Linked DNA regions of Coturnix japonica. The protein of the gene in region 1 binds, or shares a complex with, the protein of each later gene. Links are inferred from orthologs where the notes say so. Each region holds a gene or a part of one and is shown on either strand. Other genes may lie near its edges.

Evidence for each region.
Region 2: the proteins of TNNI2 (region 1) and TNNC2 are in contact, whole or in part, in a crystal structure (PDB 1A2X), measured with the Oryctolagus cuniculus proteins. The link is inferred for Coturnix japonica from reciprocal best matches to the Homo sapiens genes TNNI2 and TNNC2. Residues at the interface, in NP_001076252.1 of Oryctolagus cuniculus: Glu5, Asn8, Arg9, Ile11, Thr12, Arg14, Arg15, Gln16, His17, Leu18, Lys19, Ser20, Val21, Met22, Leu23, Ile25, Ala26, Glu29, Leu30, Glu33; in NP_001076114.1 of Oryctolagus cuniculus: Ser13, Glu15, Met16, Ala18, Glu19, Ala22, Lys91, Leu96, Glu98, Cys99, Arg101, Ile102, Phe103, Arg105, Ile119, Phe120, Ala122, Ser123, Glu125, His126, Val127, Glu131, Ser134, Leu135, Asp138, Phe152, Met155, Met156, Val159, Gln160.
Region 3: the proteins of TNNI2 (region 1) and TNNC1 are in contact, whole or in part, in an NMR structure (PDB 2MKP), measured with the Homo sapiens proteins. The link is inferred for Coturnix japonica from reciprocal best matches to the Homo sapiens genes TNNI2 and TNNC1. Residues at the interface, in NP_001139301.1 of Homo sapiens: Arg116, Met117, Ser118, Ala119, Asp120, Ala121, Met122, Leu123, Ala125, Leu126, Leu127, Lys130, His131, Lys132; in NP_003271.1 of Homo sapiens: Asn18, Glu19, Phe20, Ala22, Ala23, Ile26, Val44, Met45, Met47, Leu48, Gln50, Pro52, Glu56, Phe77, Met80, Met81, Cys84, Met85, Lys86, Asp87.

Annotation. Positions count from the first base shown.
Region 1 is NC_029520.1:10,463,815-10,466,050, forward strand, and holds the end of TNNI2 (troponin I, fast skeletal muscle), read left to right. Parts: intron 1-57; coding exon 58-186; intron 187-597; coding exon 598-687; intron 688-804; coding exon 805-981; intron 982-1,307; coding exon 1,308-1,406; 3' UTR 1,407-1,614; downstream 1,615-2,236. UniProt on the Homo sapiens protein: Troponin I is the inhibitory subunit of troponin, the thin filament regulatory complex which confers calcium-sensitivity to striated muscle actomyosin ATPase activity.
Region 2 is NC_029535.1:9,485,702-9,489,574, reverse strand, and holds TNNC2 (troponin C, skeletal muscle), read left to right. Parts: upstream 1-1,473; 5' UTR 1,474-1,566; coding exon 1,567-1,578; intron 1,579-2,318; coding exon 2,319-2,370; intron 2,371-2,455; coding exon 2,456-2,599; intron 2,600-2,672; coding exon 2,673-2,787; intron 2,788-2,862; coding exon 2,863-2,999; intron 3,000-3,090; coding exon 3,091-3,122; 3' UTR 3,123-3,322; downstream 3,323-3,873. UniProt on the Homo sapiens protein: Troponin is the central regulatory protein of striated muscle contraction. Tn consists of three components: Tn-I which is the inhibitor of actomyosin ATPase, Tn-T which contains the binding site for tropomyosin and Tn-C.
Region 3 is NC_029527.1:240,745-244,935, reverse strand, and holds the start of TNNC1 (troponin C, slow skeletal and cardiac muscles), read left to right. Parts: upstream 1-1,379; 5' UTR 1,380-1,461; coding exon 1,462-1,485; intron 1,486-4,191. UniProt on the Homo sapiens protein: Troponin is the central regulatory protein of striated muscle contraction. Tn consists of three components: Tn-I which is the inhibitor of actomyosin ATPase, Tn-T which contains the binding site for tropomyosin and Tn-C.

The DNA.
Region 1 (2,236 bases):
CTCCCATCTTCTCCTTTGCCCCGAACCCATGTTGATCTCCCTCCTGCTGCTTTCCAGAGTGCTATGCTCCAGCTTGCTGTCACTGAAATAGAAAAAGAAGCAGCTGCTAAAGAAGTGGAAAAGCAAAACTACCTGGCAGAGCATTGCCCTCCTCTGTCCCTCCCAGGATCCATGCAGGAACTTCAGGTAAGAGCTGCTTTAGCCCTTTCAGAAAGTATTAGGCTCCACTACTCAGCCTGCTGCATTTACATTGTCCTTCCCATCTTGACCATTTCCTGTCCCTGGGGGCCTCTCTTCACCATGGAGGCAGAGACAGGGACTGGCACCTCTGGGGTGTGTTGGGTGGTGACTGGCAGTACAAGGATATGAGGGCAGCATTTGTGTGAAGGTGGGTGCACAAAGACCAGAAGCTGGGTTGCAAAATACCTTTCATAGTCTGCAGTTGTCTGGTATTGAGTGGTGGTCTGATCCTTCTTCAGCCTTTGGGATTAAGAGAGGTATAGGGGTCTTTCAGAGATAGAGGAGAAGGAAGTGGTCAGGAGAGAGGAATTTCCTGGCGTGCTCTATTATTCAACATCCGTCTACTTTTCCTCCCAGGAACTGTGCAAAAAGCTTCATGCCAAGATAGATTCAGTGGATGAGGAAAGGTATGACACAGAGGTGAAGCTACAGAAGACTAACAAGGAGGTGAGCATGCACTGGAGCATCTGGCTCATCCTTTGTTCCTCTCCATGCTGCTTGTGCATGGTCTCTCTCATGAAACTCACGCCCTGCTCTTTCTGCCCACTTCTCTCTTGCCAACAGCTGGAGGACCTGAGCCAGAAGCTGTTTGACCTGAGGGGCAAGTTCAAGAGGCCACCCCTGCGGAGGGTCCGTGTGTCAGCTGATGCCATGCTGAGGGCTCTGCTGGGCTCCAAGCACAAAGTCAACATGGACCTCCGGGCCAACCTGAAGCAAGTCAAGAAGGAGGACACAGAGAAGGTACCACTTTCACTCCCATTAAGGCATAAGCTTCCAACTTTTGGGGATGACATCTCCCTGCAGGCAGACCATGAGCTTATCTCAGTAATGTCCTTCCTGCCTCATGTTTTCTCCTCCAACTCTCATGTAGTTGTAAACACGGAGTCCAGCCCTGAAAAACATACAGCAGGGGTGAAACTGGGAGTCCCTAGCTAAGTTTTCCAGGGGAGGTGAAGTGTTGAGCATTTGAAGTAAGGTTCCCATAGGTGGATGGGTAAAAGGGCACTGTTTGGGTGGGTCAGTACCCCATGGGTTCACCTCGTCATGCACACTTATCCCTTCTGCAGGAGAAGGACCTCCGTGATGTGGGTGACTGGAGGAAGAACATTGAGGAGAAATCCGGCATGGAGGGCAGGAAGAAGATGTTTGAGGCTGGCGAGTCCTAAGCACTGGTCTCTCCACTCTTGCCATTTCCACCCTCTTCCATCCCCTCCTGAGCATGGCCACAGCTGTGAGCATGGCCACGTCCCTGCCCTGAACCTCAACACGTCCTCACCATGCATTGAACCCACTGACTGGGTGCTGTTTCTCTGGTTTTGTGAAGAGCTGCAGTCTGAAAGCAGCAGTGTAAATAAAGCTTTCATGGGAGAGGGGGATGTGGCCTGCTGTGGTGGGGCTGAGGGTGCTTAGGGCTGTGGGAACACACTAAGGATACCCATCTCCATTGGCAGGCTGCTTGGGGGGGGGTTTCCTTGCCTTCCTCTCTCTTGGCCTCCATCTTGTCATGGGGTGGAAAGGCCTCTCTTTTAAGCTGGAGATCCATTCTCTGACTCATAGCCTGTGTCTCCCATCACAGGAGCTACTGCACTTCAGGAGCTACCAGGGTGAACAGAGTGGGGGGATGGCGTTTGGGGGGTGGTAAGGAACCATCTGCCAGAGGAAGGAAATGGGTGAGGTCATGCCACAGTGCTGTCGGCTGCTCTACCTCCTCCTGCTTCTGCTTCTTTTTTGGGCAGGAGTCTGTGGGTCAGGAGGTGGCTCCGACTGGTCATTGCATCAGGGTTTGTGCCCATCATGCTGTTCTGTGTCTCCTCTCCACATCCTTCACCTGGCCCAGAGCAGGGAGCACCTTTCTGCCTTCTCTCTCTGGACTGAGACCTGCTGCAAAGGTCACAGTCTGAGCAGACAGAAGCTGTCCCCATCCAAACCTCTTCCCTGGGCACCCTTCCCGGGCCAACATGCTCTGTACCCTATCTTGAGGCACACAGCATCTCAT
Region 2 (3,873 bases), on another chromosome or scaffold:
AGGGGGAGGAGCGGGGGCAGCGCGAGACCCCGCATCGGGACGGCCCCGCTCCCGGCCGGCTCCCTCCGGCCCCCCCGACCCGCGCCCACCCTCAACCCCGCTCCCCCCGCTCAGCCCCGCTGCCGCTGTGGGCGCTGCTCTCCGTACCGTACCGCGCTGTGCCGGGCCGCTCCGGGCGGTGCCGAGCGATGGCCGCTCCGCCGCTGCTCGTCCCGGGATCCTCCCTGCGCGGCTCCGCCTCCGCTGGGAACCCGGATCGCGGCGGGGCTGTCACGTCCCGGCACGGCGCAGCGCGGCTCGGCGCGGTCCGGCTCCGTCTGTGCACGCACAGCCCGTGACCGATCCCCGGGCACCGCTCCATGATGGTCCCCAACCTCCGGTGCCCCGGCACCCTGACACCTCGGTACCCCAACAGCGCAGCGCCCCAACACCGCCACATCCCGGCACCCGGCACCCTCAGCCGGCACCCTGCCATCCCCAGCCTCGCCACACGCTCCTGCTCCTGGGCTGCAGCCATGGCCGCTGCCTGGCACTCACCGCCCTTATTTAGCACCATCCCCGCTCTGTCCTCGCTGCTTTCTTGGGAATGTCTATTAATATCGAGGAATGGTCCAGCTGCTGCCATCACTCTGTCCTTGCTCCTTGCTGTGCTGTGCTGCCCCATCCATGGGGTGCCAGCAGAGCTGCCCCAGCAGAGGGTCCCGAGGGACCGACAGCCCTTCTGCAGCCACAAAACCCTTTTGGAGAGCTGCAGGCTGTGGGCCACTTGGCCAGCCAGACCCAGGGCCACGGACCTGGCAGAGCCGCAGCCTTTGAGGAGGCCACGGGCATCGTTCCCACTCCCCAAGTCACGGAGCAGCCGTGCCATTTCTGGTAGTGGCTGCCAGCAGAGTGGGAACCCACAGCAGTGCCAGGACCCACTGCAGGGCCACGCTCCTCACCCACCTGCAGCTCACAGTGATGGTCTGAGGGCTGCAGCTTCGCCTTGACCTCTCTAGGACAGAAAGGAGTGAAAGGAGGGACTGATGGTTTGGGCACAGCCAGAGTAACTGGGGTGCTGTGGGGTAAGGGATGGGACGTGGCCCCAGTGCTGCCTGCTTGTCCCAAGCCGCGGCACCTGGGTTAGCAGAGGTTCAGGCAGCACTACCCAGCCCTGTCCCTAATGCCTGGCATGGGGGAAGCCCAGTCCTGGTGTTGGGGATGCTGCTCTTTGGGGCTATTTTTAACCCCCTCCATGCTGAGCTGTCCTGGAACAAGGAGGTGTAGATGAAGGAGCCGCACTCCTGCCAAGATGCTGCGTCCCTCCCTGCAGGGCTTGAATTTCTATCCCGGCTTCAGACCCACGTTTAATCCCCTGCTCTTGGCCAATAACGCTTTGGCTAAATTAGGTAAAATGAGCCCGTTGCCAATGAGCGGGGCCGGATTTCCACCAGGGAGCTGATAGGCTGCTGGGGCTGGGGGCCAACGGCTGGGGGCACGGGGACACTACAAATTGGGGAGCCAGGGAGTGTGCGGGGGCTGCTGGTGCAGGAGGTGCTGACTCCCTGCAGGAAGAGAGCAGCAAAGATGGCGTCAATGGTAAGAGCTCCAGTGGTGCTGGGTTGAGCTGTGGTTGGGCCGGAGGTGTTGGGCACCGCGGTGTGGGGCTGCCAGGCACCTCTATGGGGCGATGGCAGAGGGATGATCCCTTCAGGCTGGCTATGGCAGGAGGTAGCATGGATGTAGGGGCAGTGGGATACGTTCCCCATGGCGTATGTCCCCCTATGGGATGTGTACCCCTATAAGATGTGCCCCAAAGAGGGAGTGTGCGGCTGGCTGGGGGTAATTAATGGGTGCATGGGGCGATCAGAGCTGGAGCTGGGCTGTGTGAAGGCGCTGAAAGCCGAGCGCTGGGTCATGCGACACCTCTGCGGCCCCAGACAGCCCGCGCCTCCAGGAGAAACTCGATCCAGGGCAAACAGGTGCCCGCTGAGCTCTGCTCCCTATAAGGGGAGTCGAGGAGAGTCCAAAAATAGTGTCGGGTGCTTGGGATGCCAAGGCAGCATGGCGGCCTCTGCGTCATGGACCACCGGGGGGCGGCTGCATGGGGCTCAGGGCAGTTGAGCTGCATGGCTGCCCGGGGCCTTGGGTCACTCAGGGAACAGCCACGTGCTGCAGGGCTGAGCTGGACGAAGGCTTTGCAGCTGCACCAGGGAGGCTGAGGCTTTGCACTGTGCCAGACGCTGCTGCAGAGCCCCATACGCTGCTGACCCTGGGCAGGGGCTGTGCTGACACACAGCATGGGGTGGGAGCTGACCCCTTCTCCCTGTGCCTTACAGACAGACCAGCAGGCGGAGGCCCGCGCCTTCCTCAGCGAAGAGATGATTGCTGGTGAGCAGGGAGGGGACAGGGCCCCATCCCAACACAGAGCCCGTCCCAATGCCCGTGTCCCAGCACTGACCACTCTTCCCTGCAGAGTTCAAAGCTGCCTTCGATATGTTTGATGCGGACGGTGGTGGGGACATCAGCACCAAGGAGTTGGGCACAGTGATGAGGATGCTGGGCCAAAACCCCACCAAGGAGGAGCTGGACGCCATCATCGAGGAGGTGGACGAGGATGGTGAGTGGGCTCCATGGGGGTGGTGGGTGTCTGGAGTGCTCAGCCTGACCCACATCACGGTCCCTCCCCACAGGCAGCGGCACCATCGACTTCGAGGAGTTCCTGGTGATGATGGTGCGCCAGATGAAAGAGGACGCCAAGGGCAAGTCAGAGGAGGAGCTGGCCAACTGCTTCCGCATCTTTGACAAGTGAGTGGGGCAGCGCCTGGTGACACCCGTCCGTGGTGGTGAGCGGGGCCGTATCCTGCCCTTCCTCTCCCACAGGAACGCTGATGGATTCATCGACATCGAAGAGCTGGGTGAGATTCTCAGGGCCACCGGGGAGCACGTCACCGAGGAGGAAATAGAAGATCTCATGAAGGATTCAGACAAGAACAATGATGGTCGCATTGACTTCGATGGTGAGCGGCAGGACCTCACCCTGCAGCTTGCTCAGCCCCTTTGGGCTGCGTGTGTGGCACAGCTGGGTCTGATAACGCCGCTCTCTTGCAGAGTTCCTGAAGATGATGGAGGGAGTGCAGTAAGGGATCAGACATTCCTTGGGCCGCCTGCAGCAGCCAGCCCTGCTCCTCCGCCCAGGACTGGCCCCGCCGCAGAGCCTGGCCTCGCTGCCACCCGCTGGAGCCCTGCAGCAGCTCGTGCCACTCGGCTGGCGGCTGAGCTTTTCCTTGACTCTGACAGATGTGGTTTATGGATGAACCTCATTAAAAGGGGGAAAGGCTGAGCTGCCAGTATGGGAGTGCCTGGGGGGTCTGTGGCACTGTACCCCATGGAGGGGGACACGGGGGTGTGTGCAATGCCGTGCCATACCCTGTACCAGCCGGGCTGACCTGTGAGTGTGTGAGCAGTGGTTCCCATGGGCTGCTGGGTGGGCGCCAGGCAGCGCTGAGCTCAGAGTTTCCATCAGGAGCACTCGCTTCCCACGACAGCAGCAGCAGGGAGCACAGCCCTGTTCCTCCCAGGGTCCCAGAAGGCAGCACTGGGAGGCTGCTCCTGCTCACATCACAGGATGTGTGACCACACTGGATTTTGGAAGGGGGAGAGAAGGGGGCCAAGCACTGCTTAGGTTTCTGATTGAAAGGATGGGGTATCCTGACACGAAAAGTTGGGGACTGCTTCCCAACCCTCCAAACCTCAAGACAGCAGCCACACCTCTGCACAGGGATTAAGGCAATGCTGAAAAGCCAGCCTGGTTGGTGCCAGCTCTCCCTGGGGACCCGTGTCTCCGTGCAGCCTCTGGAGCTGGGGAGGAGCACAGCCACAAGCGTGCCAAGA
Region 3 (4,191 bases), on another chromosome or scaffold:
TGCAGCACAGTAATAGCAGTGCAGCACGAAACGTCACATAAGCGGTGACAGCACAGTAATGCGGCTCAGCCAGTAAAAGCAGTGCAGCACAGTAATGCGGTGCAGCACAGTAATGCGGTGCAGCACAGTAAAGCAGTGCAGCACAGTAATGCGGTGCAGCACAGTTAATTGACGGATGCAGCACAGGAAAAGCGGTGCAAGGCACGAGCTAATTGCTCGGATGCAAGCACAGTAATGCGGTGCAGCACAGTTAAAGCGGTGCGCAGCACAGTAAAGCGAAAGTGCAGCATCAGTAATGCGGTGCAGCACAGTAATGCGGTGGCAGCACAGTAATGCGGTGCAGCACAGTAAGCGGTGCAGCACAGTAAAGCGGTGCAGCACAGTAATGCGGTGCAGCACAGTAATGCGGTGCAGCACAGTAATGCAACACGGCGCCGTGCTGAGCAGTACGGAGCCGTGCAGTGTAGTGCTAACGCAGCACTGTGCAGTGTAGTACTGAGCCGTGCAGTGCAGCGCTGTGCAGGCTACATGGGCACCAAGTTTCTGGGCGCTGGTGCTGTCAGCCGGGCTGCGGGGATGCAGCGGCCTTTGTGCCCCCGCTGTGTCACCGAAGCACTGAACAATCCCCGTCCCAAAGGTCGGCGCAGCCCGGCGGTGCCCGCAGACATTGCAGACATTGCTCCATTGCAGCCTCTGCTGCACATCATTGGGCGGGTGCACAAACCCACCGTGGCTCCGGCCGCCGCTGCCGGGTGCTCAGCGGGTTCGGCCAAATTCCGGCTCGCAGCCTGATTTCTTCAGCCGACAATGGCTTTTATTTGCGGAGTTGAAGCCCAGAGCTGCCCCCATCCGTGCGGCTGTGCTGCCAGCAACACCGAGTCCACCAGAGGGAGCGCTGCACCCCCAGGAGCGCTGCCCGCCCGCGCCGCTCCGGTGTTGGTGCATCTCCCTGCCCCGAACAGCCGCTTGTCGCTGGGGTCGAAGCGCCGCCGGCTCCGATCGTGGGCTGCTCCATCCGCGCGGGGCCGGGCCGCAACTCGCCGCTTCCAGGAGGACGGGAATCCAGCCCAGCGAGCAGCGCCTGGCAGCAACCCGGAGCCGTTCGCAGCCCCGGCCGGACCCTCAATGCTCGGGGGATGCTCCCGGTTGGATGCTCCCGGTTTGCCCCTGCCCGGTGCCGCGCGTTTCCCCCGGCTCCTCCAACTTCGTGGTCCCCGACCCCCGGGGCAGCGGTCGGGCTCCGTCTGACCTGCGTTATTCAGCGCGGCCAAGCGGCCCGTGGCGATGCGGCACGGTGCCACGCAGCCCGGGCACGCGGCGAGGCGCTGTGCGGGGCCGGGCCGTGGTGGGCTGGCGCATCCCGTCACCGGCCGCTGCCCCCTATATCAGTGGGGCCGGCGGGGCGGCGGCGGCACAGCGTGTCAGTGACGCCCCCCGGCCCTTCGCTCTCCCTGCCCAGACATGGATGACATCTATAAGGCGGCGGTGAGTGCCCGCCCGGGGCCGGGATGCTGGGGAGGAAGGGGACGAGGAGCTGCCGGCACCGGGGCCGGGTTACGGGACGCCGGCGGGCGGCTCGGCTGGAGTCGAGTCCCCTCGTCTGCGTGAACGTCCCGGCGCTGCCGTGTCCGAACACGGCGGGGTGGAAGCGGCGGCTGCCGGCTGCGGGCACATCCCGGCACGGCACCGCGTCCCACGGAGCGAACGTGATTCGCGTGGGTTACAGAATGATTGATTTGCACGGCTGAAAGGGGATTAGCGAGAGTTCAACCTCACCCTGTCGCTACCGGAGCTTTAAAATCATAAGCGCCGTTGCTTAAATCCCCCCTTCCTCAGCTGAGTGTTTTTCGATGAGACTTTTCAACTCTCTGCTTTGTGCCGTGTTTCTGCCTGGTCCCTCCGCTGCCCGCAGGAATCCGGGCTGGGACTCGGGCTCTCTGGGAATGCGGAGCATCCGGCAGCTGCGCGCAGCGCTGCCCCGCGCACCCGGAACGCTCCGGTCCATAATAAGCTCAGCGCATCATTCTGTAATTTAGACAGAGCGATATGCGGGTGTGATGGGGATGGAAATAGATTCTGTGTGAATCGCTGCTGTGTGCCCGGAGTTAAAATACACCGTAAGAACTGAAGGGTGACTCTTTTTAGTTGTTTTTAACATAGAGTTGACCGGGTTGAAAAATACGTCCTGCAATGACAACTCCAAGAGGTTCAGAGGGAATAAAGGACTTTGCTTAGTTAAACAAAATGGAGGGAAACGAGATGTTGGCAGCTCTCCCTGTTCCCTGGTCAGCCCTTATAGCTGTGACCCCTCCCGGGATCCGGACAACATGTGAGGGATGGGCTGGGAAGCGCATGACGACGTGCTGAGTGCCCCGAGGAGCATGAGGAAGGGACAAGAGTGCGCCCTGTAAGATCAGTGGAAATCCAGCCCGTATAATGAAGCTTTTTAGCTAGTTATGTTCCCTCATGGAGCAGGTCCTTGCTGTACTGTTTAGGGACTTCATGCATTAATTATGAAGAAAGCCTGGGGTGCCTTTCCACCCCAAAGTGAGCAAAAATCCACAGTGAAGGTCATCTCTAGCTGAAGCCTGTAGGTTTCAACCCGAGCCTCCTCCATCTGATAGCCCAAGCAGTGTCCTTGACCTGAGGAATAAGTTGGTGGGCTCTGACAGGGAGCTGCCAGCGCAAAAGCAAAAGGAGAAGAGGCAGAACATGGCTGTAATTGATAGCTGCTTCATGAGTCTGTTCCCGAGATTTTAACTGTAGGAAAATATCTGGCAAAATAAATAAATAAGATCTGAAACTTTTCGTGCCTGACTTCAAATGGAAATATGGGATGGAGAAAAGAGCAGAAAAAGCAAAATCCTGTGTGCTGGGTGTCTGCCTTCCCAGAGCGCAGCAGGACAAACCATTCCCAGGCTGGAGGCAGAGGAGAAAAAAGGAGAAAGCTGTGAACTGTGTCTGTGACCAGGGGCACAATAAACAGCTTGGGAAAAGCCGTGTAGTAAAAGCATCGCTGTGTGGTTCGGTTCCATCCAGCACAGCTCCACATCCATAGTGCTGTACAAAGCCAACATGCAGTAGTTAGAAAAGCCTTGGAAGTAAGGATTTGTTATTTGCTGCGTATATTGATGGCAGCAAACCTACAGGGGTATATACCAACATTATATCCATGTCGAATTCCCTCGGTGCAGCCGCAGAACCCAGTGGGCCTTTGTCTCACCCACTCATGTCTAGATAAGGGTGTGCAGGCACAAAGCTATTTCAGGAGCATTTTTCAGTTCTGTTGAGCGGTGCAGAGTGTTGCCAGGGACAAGTGTCAGAATAACAGGCTGCGGGGCCGCATACCAAAGGCCTGGGAACAATCACAGGGCTCATCTTTATCTCCGGCACCTCCCTCATCAGGGCTTATTAATAGCGAACGCTGCCAGGGGGTCAGGTTACCCAATGGACTGTGGCCATCGGCTGAGCTGCCCAAATGATGCCTGCTCAGGGCTTGGGGTTCTTCCTGCTGCTTTTGCTTCTCACCCCACAAAGGCTCCACAGGGAGCTCAGTGCTGCTCCCTTCCCAGTTCCTGCTAAGATAAAGCACTTTCCCTGCTTTCCAAGTTGTTGTTTGCCAAATCACTGCTTTTTGGGTGGAAAACCATCGGCCTCGCCTCCAAGACAGAGTACTGCTGGGCTGAGGGGTTCTGCTTCAACCCAAACACGGTGGGAGTGGGTGTGGGGGTGTCAGAGACAGCGTGGGAGGAGCATGTAATTGTAAGGGATGTTACTGAAGGGACAGGTGGATGCAGCGCTGGGGCACTGACAAAGCCCATGGCATGGCGGTGTGCTCCAAGGGGATCCGAAAGAAATTCACTCCAGGAGGTTCTGGTGGATTCCTCTTTGCTCTCCTCATCAATTGTCATTAATTGCTGCTAATTGATAAGCTCCCACCGGTGGATGGCAGGGGTAGGAGTGGGTAGATGAGCTGGGTAGGACTTGGGAGCAGTCTGCCAGCTCAACTCATCCAGCTCTGGGCGGCTGCAGGGACCATTTCTTCCAGCTGCTCCCATCTGCCTCAGTTTGCTTCCAGTTCCAGTGCCCAGGTTCAGGGAATGACGGTGACTGCAGCCTGCTGCTCCTCATGCACCATAACCTGTCTGTGGCATGTCCCCATTGCACTGAGGTGATACACTGACCAAAGAA